2 linked regions of the Drosophila melanogaster genome follow. The protein of the gene in region 2 interacts with the protein of the main gene of each other region in a pairwise test. Each region holds a gene or a part of one and is shown on either strand. Other genes may lie near its edges.

Region 1 (6,521 bases), on a different chromosome or scaffold from region 2:
AGAAAATCGCCTGGCTACGACCTAATAACTCCAAGAATGCTCATTGAACTCCCAAAGTGTGCTATTCTTCACATCTGCCTGTTGTTCAACGCAATCGCCAAGCTTGGATACTTCCCTCAAAAATGGAAAAAGTCGACCATAGTAATGATTCCAAAGCCAGGAAAAGATAAAACGCAGCCATCATCATATAGACCGATAAGCTTACTAACATGTCTTTCAAAGCTGTTTGAAAAAATGCTACTCCTTCGGATTAGCCCTCATCTTAGAATAAACAACACACTTCCAACACATCAATTTGGCTTTAGAGAAAAACATGGAACCATCGAACAGGTCAACCGAATCACGTCAGAAATTCGTACTGCTTTTGAACATCGAGAATACTGCACAGCCATTTTTCTAGACGTCGCGCAGGCATTTGACAGAGTGTGGCTCGATGGACTTTTGTTTAAAATAATCAAGCTGTTGCCCCAAAACACACATAAGCTACTGAAGTCATACCTATATAACAGAGTGTTTGCAATAAGATGCGATACAAGCACTTCACGCGATTGCGCAATCGAAGCTGGAGTGCCGCAAGGCAGTGTACTGGGTCCAATCTTATACACCCTGTATACGGCGGATTTCCCCATAGACTACAATCTAACAACCTCCACGTTCGCTGATGATACCGCGATACTCAGTCGCTCGAAATGCCCAATAAAAGCCACGGCACTCCTATCCCGACACTTAACATCTGTAGAACGATGGCTTGCCGACTGGAGAATTTCAATAAATGTTCAAAAATGCAAGCAGGTTACCTTTACCTTAAACAAACAAACATGCCCACCACTGGTCTTGAATAACATATGCATTCCACAAGCCGACGAGGTAACATATCTGGGAGTTCATCTGGACAGGCGGCTCACTTGGCGCAAACATATAGAAGCCAAATCGAAACATCTTAAACTTAAAGCAAGGAACCTCCACTGGCTCATAAATGCTCGCTCTCCACTTAGTCTGGAGTTCAAAGCTCTTCTATACAACTCCGTCTTAAAACCTATCTGGACTTATGGCTCCGAGCTGTGGGGCAACGCATCCAGAAGTAACATAGACATTATTCAGCGAGCACAGTCAAGAATTCTGAGAATTATCACTGGAGCGCCGTGGTACCTTCGGAACGAAAACATACACAGAGACCTAAAAATCAAATTAGTAATCGAAGTAATAGCTGAGAAAAAAACGAAGTATAACGAAAAGCTGACCACCCATACAAATCCCCTCGCAAGAAAACTAATCCGAGTATGCAGTCAAAGCCGGCTGCACCGCAACGACCTCCCAGCCCAGCAATAAACTTATTAGGGCATTAATGAAAAAAAAAAACTATCACTAAGTGAAAGTTAATTAAGTTAGATTAAGATTTGAACACTTATTGTTAGTCTCTTAACACAAAGGGAAGATTCAATAAATAATAAAAATTAATAAAAAAAAAAAAAAATTGTGTCGCTTGGCAATTTAATGAATTTTAATGAGAACTTACTCGCCGAATGCCAGTAACAGCTTGGTTCTGCATTCATTTTCATTTGTCTGTTTTGTGATGATTTTTGATTTTAGACAAAAGCATATGTACAAGACGATATGGATTGTTACTATAACCGACGACCCTCAAACTGGGAACATAAGTTCTCTTTTGATCTATATTGAGTAAAGAAATTTATAAATGAAGATCTACGTTTCCGAAATTCCCCCTATAGAGCTATAAAACTTTTGAATTTTTTAGAAATGATTTTTATTTTTAAGCGAAATTGTAGTTCCTGACTCCTTCCTAGATGCCAGTGTTAGTCTTGATCCAGTCCAGGTAGCTGGTCACACGAGTGAAGGCAGCGGGGTAGCCCTTCTCGCAACCGGCAGAGGCACCGAATGAGGTCAGACCGATCTGCTCGCTGGACGACTTGAGGACCAGAGGACCGCCGGAGTCACCGTTGCAGGTGGACTTGGCGTCGGTGGTGGCCACGCAGAGGGTTGAGTCGGTCACGACCGAGGTGCCGTAGGTTTGGGCGCACTTGGTGTTGGTGATCACAGTCAGGTCGACATACTGAAGATTGGTAGCCACACCACTGGAGGTGTCACTGGTGCGTCCCCATCCGGAGGCGACAGCGACGTCACCGACGAAGGTCGAGTAGGAGTTGGAGATGCTTGGCAGCTTGACGGCGGAGATCCTGCTGCTGGAGGAGGTGGCGGGGATCTTGATCAGGGAGATGTCGTTGCGCAGGTTAGCGCTGTTCCAGCCGGAGTGGATGATGATGTCGGAGCTGGACACGGTGTGGGTGATCTCGGCGGAGGTGCGCACGGTGGCGCCCAAGTAGACGGTCACGGACTGAACTCTGCGATAAATCAAACATACAATTGGTTAGGACATTGGTTCCAAGATATTTTCGGCATTCCTTCAAGGGACACTCACCCATCGGTACAGTGAGCAGCGGTCAGGACCCAGGTGCTGCCGATCAGAGAACCACCGCACCAGGCGCTGGACAGAGCACTCAGCTTCAGGGAAAGTCCCACCTGGTAGGGGAACTGGCCGACGGCGGCGTTGCTTCCTCCGGTGATGCGACCTCCAATGTCGCCAACGACGGGCATCTCGCGGCTGCGATGGCGCAGCTCCGGCTCGGGGAAAGCGGAGGCGGCCACAGCCAGGGCAAGGATGATCAGGAACTTCATCTTGGGAATTGTTGCTTGTTCAGTTAAGGGAACTCAACTGTTTGGCCAAGGACCAGCTGGGGTCTTTTATACTGGCCAAGTCGCGTCTGCGATTGGGTTGCAATTCAGAAATAGAGCTGTCCCGATTAGATAGGACCACTAAAGTCGGTTCGAACTACCTTATCTGTTGAGATTTTGTGCCGAAGATATGAATGAATGAACTTCAGCCACACGGTCGCCAAAATTACTTTCCCAATCCAAGAGTATTAATCCCGATACGGATCTAATCAGGGCTATGGGCTTCGAGTGGATTTCCAGATCGAGCCGCTGCGATACCAAAGGCCTAGCATGGGGTTGCTAATTAATTTGATTAGTTTTACACATACGCGATATATACATAACTATATATTGCGATACAAAATTGGCAAAGGTTTGCTTTGCTCTTCAGCGTATCTTATAATTCCCATGGTAGTCGAGTGCTATCTTATCTCCTGTCTATAGGGTGAGAAGCCGTAAGCCCACAGTTTAGTTGGGTTTGTTTACCTTCGATAAAGGTCAAGGAGTAGGACGTGAGTTGGTCAAGACTGCTTAAACTTCATAGGAAATCATACCGCCGTCTAACAATTGCGTATCTGGACTCTCTCTTTGATTACAAACACGCAAATTTCAGTTGTTTTCGCAACCGCAGCCTTCTTTATCAGCGAAAGCCGCGTGATTTTATGACGCGTTCAACCGACCACATCACTGCGGTTAATAGCCAATTCAGATGGCCAATTGAAGGCGATTAGCGGGAGGAGGCGCTGCGGTCTGTACCCAATATGCCCTCACCAAAAACGGACACTCAACCCAATGATTTCAATTTCAGTGGCGATTCATCAGCAATTTCCATGGCAATGTAATTTTTCTTTTGTGCCCTTATTGAGCTCCCCAAATTGACTTGCTCTTCTGCAATGCCGAAATGTTTATTGTTATTTATCGGTAACAATTTTCATTCAAGAGAAAACAACCACACATAAAATGGACCATTTGCACCTTCCTTTCTCGACAGAAGAACCTGTTTTGGTTTCATTGCTCAAATTGGTTTTATTGTCTGGGCCGACTATATTGTTTAGCAATTAATGGGCTGCAATTAGGCGTTAATTGCATTTAGTTGGTCATTGCCGTTTGCTGTCGGATCCATGGCAAATATGCGGTTATCCTGGTGTAGACAGTGGGACCCCCCACCTCGCATCCTTCGGCACTGCCGAACGAGGTGACCCCAATCAGGTAGCTAACATTGCGCCAGTGGTACACAACGGGGCCACCGGAGTCGCCATTGCAGGCACCACGTCCATTGCTTCCATCGGTGCACAGGTGACGTCGCTGGCTAACCAATCCTGGCAGGAAATAGCAGATGCAGCGTTCCTGATCGATCACCTCCGCATCTAAGTACTGGAGGAGTCGCGTCCGTTTGTCGGTTGAATCTCCCAAGTAACCCCAGCCAGATAGGGTCACCACTTTGCCTACCAGAAAGTTTTGATGCATGAACTCCCCAGCCAACTCAATGGGTTGCACTTGTTCTGAAGTTCTGACTTTTCTTGGCAGTCGTATTAAAGCCAAGTCACTATATCCTCCAAATCCCAAGTAATCAGGATAAATAATGAAATCTCTATGCGTGACTTGTAACTCCTCCACGGAGTCTTCTACATCGGCAAATACGGTGGCGCCCGTGTATATCTTTGCAGCTATGGCATCGGTCAGACAATGGGCTGCAGTCAAAACAAATTGAAGAGTGATAAGGGAACCACCGCACTTGACCAGATCTGCGCCACTCAGCTGAATCACCAGACCCACTTGATAGGGAAACATGCCGCGCGTGGCCAATTCTCCTCCAGCTATTCGAGTTCTCACAGCAGCGGTTTGATTACCTTCCATCTCGAATTTTTCGCAGCGAAGTCGAAAGTTTTCGTAGCCAAGCTGCCAACGTCTTTCCATGATTGCATCGTCATCGTCCGGTGTCTCCTCTTTGGGGTGCTCAAAAGTATCTAGCCAAGGCTCACTTGATTTAACTAGTGTGGATGATAGAAGTAGCAGGAAGAAAGCACTTGTAGCCTGGTATTGCGCCATTTTATCACTACGGAATTGAAAAAATAATATGGGGAATACCTGTTATTGCATTCTATACTATATCTTTTAAATGTAATATTTCCTTTTTCTGACCAAATTCATAGAATACCCCCCGCCCCCCCCCCCCCCTTAAATATGTGAATAGGAAACTCTATTCATTATGTTGAATGAAATTTATGAATGAATTGCCTTTTTATTTACATATATTATATATATAGCTGATGTTCCTCGTAATGAGTTAGTCCAAGTTCAGGTCTGAGTGGGCTCTTCACGTGAAGTACTGGGCTTGTTGTTGTATTTGCTGGTGTTTTTATAGTCAGCGATTGTGGCATCGACATTGCGTCATCGACTTGGATGCGGCACGTGTCCGCATCGTTTGTTAATTGAATTTGCTTGGGCCGAGTGCAAATTATACGGAGACGGGAGGAGCAGCAGATGTTTGGCATTCAATTCCTCCAGCTACCGTGTAATTGCCGCACGTTTTGGCGATTATGTTGCTTAGGCTAGGCCTTCGTCTCCCTTTGGCATACTGCAGTTTCCTTAATTGCTTTCGAACCCCCCATTTTCCCGGGTCCTCAATTGCACGATTTCAGTCTTAGCCCCCAACATTGGCCAGAATGTCTGGGTCGGGGTCTCTGTATTTATTGACTGTCGTTTTATCAACGCTTAGTTTATTATTTGTTTAATTTACTGCACACCTTCGCCTGCATTTCGACACATGAAAGGCCATTGATAATTTTCCTGGAGTTGAATGGCTGTGGGGTTTTACAATCCAAGGCCCCGATTTCGTCACCGATCATAAAGTACCCACTTTGGCGATATCAAAAGCCAGAAGTGTATTAAGTTAGTCTATAAGAGTTATTATGAAATCTGATTCATTAAACGGTAAGAGAGTAGATCTCAATCTCTAGACATTATTTAAAAGTCTAACATGTGTAAAATCATGATTACAGTTTTATTTATAATATTTTGCAGTTTTCATATTTCATACTTCAACACTTAGATACCGGAAGTTTCCTTGATCCAATCGCGATAGTAAGTGATACGGGTGAAAGCAGCTGGTGCGCCAGACTCGCAACCATCAGCGGATCCAAAGGAGGTGGCACCGATGAGGACACCATCGAGAGCCAATGGGCCGCCGGAATCACCCTGGCAGGTGGAGGCCTTGTTGGTGGTGTCAACGCAGAGGACCCTGCTGGTCACGATCAGGCTTCCGAAGGTTTCCTGGCATTTGGAGTTGGAGATGATGGTAAGGTCCACGTACTGCAGATCGCGAGACACGGCGGTGGCTTGGTCGGAGGTGAGACCCCATCCGGAGGCAACAGCGGTCTTTCCCTCGTAGGTGGAGTAGCTGTTGGAGACGGCGGGCAGGCTGATCTTGTTCACGGTAGCCGAGAAGGACACGGACGAAGTCTGGATCAGGGAGATGTCGTTGCGGATGGTCAAAGCCAGGTAGCTTTCGTGCTGCCTAAACTTTGAGCTGCTGACGACTTGGGTGAACTCGGGGCTAGTACGGACAGTGGCACCGTAGTAGATGGTCACGGAGGCGGCACTATATTGGAAATACTCTCATTAGACCTGGTCTTGAAGGACGGAAAATGCACTTACCCGTCGGTACAGTGAGCAGCAGTCAGCACCCACTCGTTTCCGATGATGGAGCCACCGCACCACCAACTGCCAGCAGAGCTGGAGAAACTAAGTCCCACCTGGTAGGGGAACTGGCCGGCAACGGCGTCCTTGCC
Region 2 (11,094 bases):
ACCATCTCCTTGGAGCGCCGGAAGATGGGTCGGTGCAGTTTGACTTGGGCCTGCCTTAAGAGGGGCCACAAGGTGCCCGTCACGGAGAAGGCGAAGTGCAGCTCCATGGACATCCGCTGGGTCTGAAAATCCGTGGAGTCGGCTGTCTGAAACACATCGCTGTGCGCATCCACATACTCCGCTCCCCTTATCGACTTCAGGTAGTCCATGTCCGTCGGGACCATAAGGATCTTCAGCTTGGCCCTGCGCATTTGATCGAAGTCTGTAACTGGATCACTTGTCGGGGGTTGTATGAGCCAAGCTGTGAGATAGACAATCACGTAGTTGCTCACAAAGAAGCCACTCACCAGAAGCAGCCAGTAGACAAACATTAGTTTTGGGGATAGCCCCTTCGGAAGGACGAACGCCTGTGCCAGGACTCCCCGGAGCACCGTATTGCCCATTGAACAGCACCGCCAGCTAGGAGTTAGGCCAGCTTCAAAGCGATGTGCGTTACTTAGCACGATGGCTAGAAGGATTATCAGCGGTATCAGGTATAGCGATATGCCGAACCTTATGAAGAATCGAGCTCGAGGAAGGCTGGGCTCCATGGGTAGCATGAGGAACCAGCTGGAAATCTCCATGGCGACGTCCTTGTGCAATGTCTGGAAACTGAGACTGCCCAGCCCCAAGGGGAAGTCGACGTGATTGCTTCCCGTTAGGCTGTCCATATCGAAGTCACCGTCCTCCGGGAAGAGGTCCCAGCGGATCTGCAGACTGGCGTTAATGGTGCTCACATAGTTGCGGATGAAGTGGCTGAGGTATCCGCCCATCTGCAGCTCTCCATCCTCACCTTGGTACACCATAGTTCTGGGCATGATGCCATCTGGCACAACCTTCAGGACACATCCCCCCAGATCCTCAAGCTGCGGCTCGAAGTACCGACGCACATCCTTCACCCTGCGCTTTACAACTCGAAGAGTTGGGAATGCCTTGAAGCTGTAAACGAACTCCCTAATGGAGCCATTGAACGCCTTCTAAAAGTAAAATAGTCCTGTAGCCCAGCTCATCCTCTAGAGATTTCAGCATATTTCTCAAGGAACCATCATGTGCCCCGGCCAGGCAGGCGAAAGTGAAGAATAGTGCGAGCCGCATTTCCATGGCGACTATCCGAAACGAGCTGCTAATACATACTGCCACTCTGCTGCTTTGTCCACAGGGTAATGGTTACTGCGATTAGATCTGGTATCCTTCAGTTATACCGGAAAGCAATAACAACGAGTTGTTACTTATTTTAATGGCAGTCTAGTGCCTGCATTTATGAGTGCCTTTATCCAATTAGGATTCCCAGAGCAATGCCTAATAGATATTCATAGTGTTTATTTATTCAAGTTCAATGCTAATTTTGATTTAGTTGCCACCTGTGGTATCCAATCTCGGCGAGGAGTACCAGGATACTAGCGATGGTTCCGCCCACGAAGCCCAGCCACACGTAGCTAAAGTCCTGCCACTCGAAGTCTCGATATATCTGATGATCACCATTCACTTTGTAGTGGATCTTCCGGAGGGCAACCAACTCGTTGAAGCTCCGCTTGAACCAAAACTCGTACAAGCCGCTCTGGTGGGTGAGTGCCCGGTACCGATTCAGTGACTTGTGAAACATTGAGTTCTTCGGCAAGGGCATGGCCATGATAAGCAGCGGTATGAGCACCATCTCCCGAGATCGTCGGAACTCTGGCTTCGGCAGTCGGATCTGGGCGTGCTCCAGCAGTGGCCACAAGGTGCACGTCACAGGATAGGCGTAGGATTGGTCCATAGCCAAGCGCTTGTCTTGGAAATTGCCAGATTTCGAGAGTTCGAAGAGATCGCTGTTGCTCTCCGTGAATTGCTTGCCCAGGGCTTTGGTCATGGAATCCAGCTCGGAGGGGACAATAAGGACTTTCAGGTTCAAGGTGCGCATTTGCTCCCAGCTGTGGATTGGATGTCCCGAGGGGGGATGCACGAGCCAGGTCTCCAGACTGGTGATGGAATAGTTGCTGAAGGTGAATCCATTCAGCAGGATCAGCGAGTAAACCAGCATGAGCTTGACGGAAAGCCTTCTGGGTAGGAAGAATGCTTGGCCCAGTGTTCCTTGCAGAACTCTGTCTCCCAAGACGTAGCAGCGCCAGCTAGGCCGCAAGCCCATCTCAATCCGATGGGCAGTGCTCAGGAGGATTGTGAGCAGCAGCAGCACTGGCGTTACCTTCTCAAAACCCAACATGATGAAAAATTGAGCCCGAGAAAGGGAGGGCTCCATGGGCAGCATGAGGAACCAGCTGGAGACCTCCAAAGGAACGTTTTGGCTCGTCGACCCGTGCTCAATGCCATGCATGCCCAGTGGGAAATCCACATCATGGATCTCCGAGAGCCTGACTACCTCACCTAACTGGATCATGCCGTCCTCGGGAACCAGATGCCAGCAGACCTTGAGGGTTGCGTTAATGGTGCTCACATAGTTCCGCAGGAAGGGGTACAGATATCCAGCCAGCTGGCGACTTCCATCCGGGCTCTTGTAGACAACGGTGCGCGGGATAATGTTGTCGGGCAGAGTAGTGAGGGTATGGCCACCCAGATCTTCGAGTTGCTGCTCGAAGTACTGGAGGATGTCCATAACGTTGCGCTCTATGACACGAAATGTGGGAAAAGCCCGAAAGCTGTAGACGAACCCCCTGTCCAATCCTTTGAAAGCCAAGACATTAAGCATTTTTCTTCGCAGACACTCCAGAAAGACATCCTGGACTTTGGAATCCGAAAGGACGAATAGTATGGTGGGCGTGTCGCGCATATCCTCGAGATTTTCGTAAAGAGCCTGCATGGTGCTCTCAACGTTTTCGTTTAGGCAAACTAGTGCCAGTATATTCGTATTAAGCGCATCTTTAAGATACAAACTTTGATTCGCATTAAAGTTCAGAATTGGCACCGCTCCTTGAATGTACTTCTGCTCCCAACACGATTCAATTTCACTCGCACTTTCTACGAGGAGAATCGCTCTGTACTGCAACTCATTCTCGAGAGCATTCAGAATGTATCTTAGGGATACGCAGTGAACGTCCACCAATCCGATGGCTATGATCAGATACAAACTCCGCCTCATTTTCGAGTTGTCTGCTCTGGAGTGCGGAATCAAGTAGACTGCACGAGTTCTCAGGGTTTTTGGGTAATTAAGAAGTTAAGTCGTATAACTGCCGGAAAAGTACGCATTGTTTTTGGAACAATGGTTAATCGTATGTCATAGGATTTAATTGGAGCTGTGTGTTAATCGAAAGTGGTCTATTTTTGTTAAGAACAAGCTATAAAATGCTAAGCTAGATAAAAAAAAGGTTAAAGTTGCAATATATGTTGCTATTGAAGATGCTTCGATTTAATTCTTCATTTCATGCATTTCTTCAAATACATGGCTCTACATTTTACACAACTATTTTACATCGTTAGTTACATTACATGTGTCTGTAAGCGCAGGAGTCCCCCTAACTATGGCAATTAACATTTGGTATTTTTTAGCACTCGCAGAACGGTCTCTCTGATGTCAAACGTGAGAAAAGTGAAAAAACAGACGGTTTAGTTTAGATTTTATTATTTACTAGCACGGTAGGAATGACAAATGGATTACATATAAGCTGCACTGAGGGCTCGATGTAATCGGCGGCTAAATTATAGGCGTGATTTAACCGGTTGTCACTCGCACGAAATGCGATACTTCGAAATTTGTTGCTGTGTTGTGTAATTTGGTGTGAAGGAGTGTGCGAGGCAAAAACAAAAACAAATCAAGATCGCGCGATATTGCGTCGATGACGTAGCTCAGTGCGTGCGTGCGTGTGTGTGTGTGTGTATGCCTGTGTGTGTTTTTGCAGCCGAAAACCAATTTGGGATCTAATCAATGTATTGACTTTTAACCAAATCGGCAGTAGGCTAAACCAGAATTCCCACCTTCTATTTACTTTCCATTAGGCGAGAATCGTGGGAAGGAACCCGTTACTTGCGCCAACGAAAGTGGAACAGAGAAGCACAGCGAGGACGGTTACAAGCGAAATCAGAGAAAAACAAAGGCGAAATAAGGCAAAAGCAATCAGAAGTCGAGCGACAGAGAACCCAAAGATACACAATCCACAGACAGTTTGTCGGAAATTCAAAATTCCATTTGAAAATACTTTGGATTCGGTTTGGAGGCCGAGCCTAGCCACGCCCCCCTGCACCACCACCCGCCACCGCCATGAACGCCCTGCTGCGTCACAAGGGACGCAATCTGCGGACGAGTCACTTGGCCCAGAATGTCTACAAGCGCTGTAAGTTGGCCAAAACTGGGAAGCGAAGGCGAAATCGCGTGAAAACTTTCCATTCGCGTGTGTGTTAGCGGGCATTTTGTTATGACTGCACTTTCGCTGGAAAGAACAGCTGACTGGCTGGAAACTGCGACGTGCGCTGGAAGTTATGTAGTGGGGGGCTTCGAATTTATTTGTTTTCGAGTAAACACCAAATTTATCATTCATTCCTAGAGTTCTTACCGGTTTCGGAGCTCTACTGACGTATCAGTGCTTCGAAAACTTAGCTGCTAATTTAATTATTCGTATTGTTTTCAACGATTTGTTGACTTTGGATCGCGACAACTGGCAATCTTATCTTTCAGCCTATACATATGGCTTAATTTCGATAATATAATTTCTTTATCTTCAACATCTTGCACCACACGCCGAATGGTTCTTTTAGGTTATAAAAGATGGGATTATTCTTATAGACCTTGGACAATTTTTGTATCTACTGGTGACTTATAATGCGACAGATTCAGATTTCGTAGGAAATCACCTGCCAGGGAAGAGGCCCAAAGACCAGCCAGGTACCAGCAAGACCAGACAAAGAGGCACCTGCGGGAAAGTACAGTCATAGTCCAGAGCAGATAGTATTGTTTACCCACAATTGAAACAATCATAGAGACTTGAAATAGGTCGGAATTACCCGCACCTTCTCCACAGCAGTTCCTCTTCTTGTTTCCCCTCCTTCGACTCAATTGCAAAATCATTTACCTTGAGCGTTTGCCAAGAATCGGAAAATCAAAAAAGAGAAGACAAAAGGAAAAGTGCGCTGTAAACAAATGCAGTCGACGCGGCCGTCTGAATGTTTGCTAAGCATGTATTTATAGAGGTTGAGAATTCTCACCGGTTGTGCGAATTTTCGTTTTCTCGCTCTGGGATTTATGTAAGCTCCACTCCAGGTGCTAATTTATCTGGTCTGTCGTCGGCAATCTTTGCCTTTCTATTATCAACTATCGAGCTCACTGAAAATCCCAACAAAATCTATAGTCAAGCGGCAGTGCGCTTATCAACCACAAACTTTTCCCATTTTTTGTAGCTATGATTAATAACTCATTAGGTGTTATTTCTTTCGTTCTTTGTTTCCTTATTTTCCTTTGGCCCTTCATCTGCTCTTATTTTTATTAAAACATGAAAGGCTGTTCGGGAAATCGTATGGAATCAGGTTATTGACCTGAAAGATTCCTTTGTGAGAATATTACATTGTTTTATTTCTTTGTTGTAATTTAATCGGATATACAGAAATCACTTGAACTTTCCAGTTTTTAAATATAGCTATACTTATCTTACTAACTTCGTATTATTTTTCTTACTTAACATATTTTTCAATATTTTTTTTGCAGTTCTTAAATCGAACTGTTGCGCATGCAGTTCGGTGAACGTCACAGATGAACCCGCCAAAGAAGATGAACTACCGCGAAGATCTGCTTCGACCTCGGTGCTGGAGCTAAGCAGATCGCTTGGCACTTACCGAAGGTTTCAGCCACATGCCAACTATGGATACGACTACTCCGGCTATGGATTTAGGCATCTGCATACGAGCCGGACTTTGCTGGAGACGTCCAGCTCAAAGATCGACGCAACAGTCAAGAAGCTGAAAAACCAGCAGAAGGAGAAGGTGGAGGAGATCATGAAGGAGGTGGCCAATGGACAGGCCGCGGCAGTTCGTGCCAGCAGTGCCGCTACCGCCACGGCCTCCTCGGAGAAGGGTCAAAACGCTAGTGCGACCGCGGGCTCCACGTCGGCGACTGCCTCAACGACGTCTTTGGCCAAGACCGCAGACAAGTCGGTGGCCAAGCCAAAGAAACCACTCCGCACACGGATTTGGGATGAGCTGGTGCACTATTACCACGGCTTTAGGCTGCTCTTCATCGATGTGGCAATTTGCTCTAAGCTCCTTTGGCGAGTGCTCAACGGCAAGACGCTCACGCGGCGCGAGAACAAGCAGCTTCAGCGGACCACCTCTGACTTGTTCCGTCTGATCCCCTTTTCGGTGTTCATCATCGTGCCCTTCATGGAGCTGCTGCTGCCGTTGTTCATAAAATTCTTCCCCGGCATGCTGCCCTCCACGTTCCAGACTTCGACCGATCGACAGGAGAAGCTCCGGCAGTCACTTAGCGTTCGCCTGGAGGTGGCCAAGTTCTTGCAGCAGACCCTAGATCAGATGCCCGTCCAGCACAAGGAACACAGCAGCGAAGAGGCCAAGCAGTTCGAGGCCTTTTTCACTAAAATCCGGAATCCCACTGAACCAGTGAGCAACGATGAAATCATCAAATTCGCCAAGCGATTCGACGATGAGATCACCTTAGATTCACTGTCCCGGGAGCAATTGGCGGCTCTTTGTCGCGTCCTTGAACTGAACACAATTGGCACCACCACGCTGCTGCGGTTCCAGCTGCGTCTGAAGCTGAGATCTTTGGCCACCGATGACCGCGTTATTGCCCGCGAAGGAGTCGACTCCCTGGACCTTCTAGAGCTGCAACAGGCGTGCAAGGCACGTGGAATGCGGGCATATGGCCTAACGGAGGAGCGTCTTCGTTTTCAGCTTAAGGAGTGGATAGATCTCTCCCTGAACGAACAGGTACCGCCTACGCTGCTGCTCCTGTCAAGAACCATGCTTATTTCCGACGACAGCATCACCACCGATAAGCTCAAGGAGACGATTCGTGTGCTACCGGATGCAGTGGGTGCCCACACACGGCACGCTATCGGGGAGAGTGAGGGCAAGGTGGACAACAAGACGAAGATCGAAATCATCAAGGAGGAGGAGCGCAAGATTCGCGAAGAGCGCGAGGAAGAGCGGGAAGAGACCATCGCAAAACGATCGGCCATCAAGGAGGAGATTCCCGCTCCTTATGTATTTGCTGAGAAGTTGTCGGGTTCCCAGGATCTTCTGGATCACAAGGAACAGTCCTCGGTGTCCGAGACGGACAAGGGCATTTCCTCTACCGATGTACAGCTGCTGTCTGAGGCCCTAAAGACACTCTCATCTGATAAACAGCTCGTGGTGGAAAAGGAAACAATCAAGGAACTCAAGGAGGAATTGGCCGACTATAAGGAGGATGTGGAGGAGCTACGCGAGGTGCGACAGGTAGTCAAGGAGCCTGTGCGCGAAAGCCGGGCGGCCAAGTTGCTCTACAATCGGGTCAACAAGATGATTTCCCAACTCGATAATGTGCTTAACGACCTAGAGGCCAGGCAGCATCAAATCAAGCAGGCGGAATCCTCTGATTACGCGGCGTCCAGTCCCACTGTGGAACCACAGCAAATGGTGCACATTGACGAGCTGGTCGCCACCATCCGGCGAATGAAGGAGGCATCCGATGAAGAGCGATTCAAGGTTGTCGGGGATCTGCTGGTCAAACTCGACGCGGACAAAGACGGTGTGATTTCGGTGAACGAGATCACCAAGGCGGTGCAGAGCATCGACCGCGAGGCCACGAATATCGACAAGAAGCAGCTGGAGGAGTTTACCGAGCTACTTTCCAAGTTGGCGTCCCGGCGACGACACGAGGAGATCGTGCACATCGACGATTTAATGAATAACATCAAGGTGTTGAAGGAAACTAGCGATGAGGCACGACTTAAGCACATCGAAGCTGTACTGGAGAAATTTGATGCCGACAAGGATGGCGTGGTGACCGTCAACGATATTCGTAAGGTAATAAAATCATGTTCCTTAGGCTGAACATACACTCAATTGGTTTGGTGTTCCTTACAGGTGTTGGAATCCATTGGTCGTGATAACATCAAGCTGAGCGACAAGGCCATTGAGGAACTCATCAGTCTGCTTGACAAGGAGCAAGTACTGCAGGCAGAGCAGAAGATTGAGAAGGCCATTGCTAAGAGCATGAAAGAGGCTGAGAAACTGAAGTCTGAGGTGGACAAAGCGGATAAGGACTTGTCCAAGCTTGTTAATGATATTCACGATTCCGCCAAGGAGATTCAGGATATTGCCAACGAGATGCGTGATAAGGAGGAAACTGTGCCCGATAAAGCGAAGGAGCTAAAAGCAGAGGTAAGTCTTTGGTTTTGACATACAGTGGTCAGCGTTCTAACAGATCAGTTTATTTAGCCCGCATTCAAGGATACGGCCAAAACATTGAAGGACAACGCAAAGGACCTGGACGATTTAGCGAAGGACCCAAAGTCAGACCCCAAATCCCCGACAAAGGCTTCTACAGGGTCCGGTCCAGCCGGACTGTCAGGTGGAGGCCCCAGCAGTGGCAGTAGCGGTATTGCCACCGGATCAACGACGGAATCAGCGCTCCGAGAGGCGGCCGAGCGTCAAATGGAAAAGATCCTGCCCTCCACAGACATTGGTCTGCCCCCCACGATACAAACACCATCGCAACCACCGACGTCAAAAAAAGCAACGGCCACTGCGTCGACCCTGTCCACGACGATAACGGCCAAGAAACTGCTCTGACCAGTCAGACGGTCCAAGAAGGGAGATGCTGAGACAACTCTTAAGCGTGAACCTAAGCCGAAGTGATGTGTTGGAGTAGGGGCGGTGGCGGTGTTGCTCGTGTGTCCCATATTGTTCCGACTATGCAATGAATTAACTGTTACCATTTAACATAAACGTAGCAGGATGAGGAGAGTTTGCTATACTTAACGCGTGGCTGTAGTACGGTATCTTCTTTAAGTAAGGCACAAATCAGAAACTACTAGAAATACATAAGAATGTACACTTTACACATATATCTTGATTTCCAACGACCTAGTTTTACATAAAACCCATTCGAAGCAAGTTGTTTGTAGCTCCTTTTTATTTGGCCCAAATTTGCGAAGCGATTGTGATCATTAGGCGAAATGTTAATTTACGACTTATTCATCTATTAATACGTACGTATATCTATCAAGCAAGTTGATTCGCCCGACCGGTTTTCAGGTAATACCGAAAGGTGGCGAGACATTGGAGAATAATTAAAACCACGTGATAGATCTAAACAATAATGTGTGTGCTTGACTTAGCAAACTGAATTTGTAAAAGTGTTTCGCAATAAAAGTTAGTATAAAAACAAAAGACGAACTGTAATTACGGGAAAACGAGTCGGAAAGTGCCCTATTATCTGTGAACTCGCCTTGAATGCCGATGCACAAGTTCTAAACGGCTATATCACCAATTTCCTAGAAACTACTGCTGAATGGCCATTCGGGACTTTAAATGACTGACTCCGACCGAACAATTGCTTTTACGAACCGCATTGATTGCTCAGAATTATATTTTTGCATTGTTTATTTCCTCGAGGGCGGGATGGTGTTCCACAACCGCACCCAAAAACCCGGACTTGCCAACTGGCCAGCAGTGATTCGGAATCGACAACCGCAGAACCCAAACTTTTACGGCCAAGTTAGTTTTGTCCGATGGGGTGCGGGTGGGGGGGGGGGGGTGGGGGGGCACTGCATGTTCAGCATCATATCCTGGGCTATTGAAGTAATAAAAATTACCACAAAATGTTCCAAAATTCCATCTTTGCCTGCCCGCTGACCCATAAATTCCCATCATATTCAGCGAGGGCCAAGAAAGTGTGGTATTCGTAAAGCATTCGGCTCCCAGCTATGTTGGCCTCTTTTCGGCCAAATAAATTAAATATGGCCCTGCGTAGGATTAGTAACTTGTGTATGCCCCAGCATTAATCAATCCCAGTTTGTGCGTAAACATGCGAAACTTTCGACCAGCAGCGAAATCGAAAACAAATAGACGCAAAGCGCTGGAAAAGAATACAGCGGAAATTTATTTAAAGGTAAATAGAACCGACAAAACGCGAAACAAGCCAAATAATAATAAACTTCAGTTCCGCTGGGAGGGAACTGTTGTTTGCAATCAGGCAAGCCCGACCATCCAACCATCCAACCACCGAACAACCCAACAGCCCAACAACCAGGAACCGCAGACAGACCAGAGGATCCGAGGAGCCGGTGATCCGGAGGGGTCGGTCGCTGGTCGGAATATGCTGGATGGGCAGGACGGGAAAGTTGGCAGAGCGTCTTGGTCGGCGAAAGTTTGCGCAGCTCAAAGTGCTTCGGATGCAACAATGAAACTCGAAATCTGCCATGAATGGTCTGAAGTGCAGACAATCAGCGACAGAGGACAGAGGACACAGGACAAGCGAACCGGGTGAACTTAAAGCATTGCGCCATGGAACGAAGTTAGTAAGTTTTAGAGCCAACGCTCGGAGAATGCTCATTCCAGTGGCGGGTTGGCGGAAAAATTGCAAAATTATTTGAAGAAATGTTACAAAACAATTAAAAAGTTGCCGACTTTCATGAGTCAATCAAAAGAGAGGCAGCCGCAACGAGTTCCGCTGCGAGAAGTTGCCCAACTTTGGCCCACTTTGAATGTCAGACAACAAGCATACGCCCCGTTGTACGTCATGCGAGCGGCAGACTAATGCAATTGTCCTTGCTGGATTTCATTTTCCGTCCAACTTGAAAACTGCTGCACTTTCGAAAGCGCCAAAACAACAAAGGTCGGCCTGTCGGAAAGTGGCGCTGTCAGTGGAGCTCTTTGCTCTTGGCTCTTGGCATCTGCTCCACACATAGCCCGGGATGAGCTCGTCGAGGCGCACACCAGATGCGTTTGCCGGATGGATTGCATGCAACCATATTTGATAGAGTTATTTCGCCTTGCCAGGTTTGGACATTCTTTCATTTAATAAAGTTTTAATATCGCCCTTGGGCCAAATCAAGCCCAACTGAATTATTCTGATCTAAACTGGCTGGCCCTTCCCTTTTACGTTTTATTAGTTTTTGCAGGAACGCCGAA

What was found. Proteins that work in one complex are often made in the same cells at the same time.
Region 1: the proteins of Letm1 (region 2) and Jon65Aiv interact in a two-hybrid assay, tested with the Drosophila melanogaster proteins (one large-scale study listed by BioGRID).

What each region holds. Positions count from the first base shown.
Region 1 is NT_037436.4:6,035,369-6,041,889, reverse strand, and holds Jon65Aiv (jonah 65Aiv), read right to left. Parts: upstream 2,736-6,521; 5' UTR 2,695-2,735; coding exon 2,438-2,694; intron 2,361-2,437; coding exon 1,802-2,360; 3' UTR 1,755-1,801; downstream 1-1,754. Other genes in the region: CG6462 (uncharacterized protein), read right to left, coding at 3,820-4,779; yip7 (yippee interacting protein 7), read right to left, coding at 5,779-6,331, 6,388-6,521.
Region 2 is NT_033778.4:24,507,743-24,518,836, reverse strand, and holds Letm1 (leucine zipper and EF-hand containing transmembrane protein 1), read left to right. Parts: upstream 1-3,516; 5' UTR 3,517-3,606; intron 3,607-3,839; exon of another isoform or gene 3,840-3,966; 5' UTR 3,967-4,228; coding exon 4,229-4,301; intron 4,302-5,665; coding exon 5,666-7,983; intron 7,984-8,043; coding exon 8,044-8,340; intron 8,341-8,397; coding exon 8,398-8,751; 3' UTR 8,752-9,329; downstream 9,330-11,094. Other genes in the region: Ir60b (ionotropic receptor 60b), read right to left, coding at 1,379-3,112. UniProt on the Drosophila melanogaster protein: Mitochondrial proton/calcium antiporter that mediates proton-dependent calcium efflux from mitochondrion.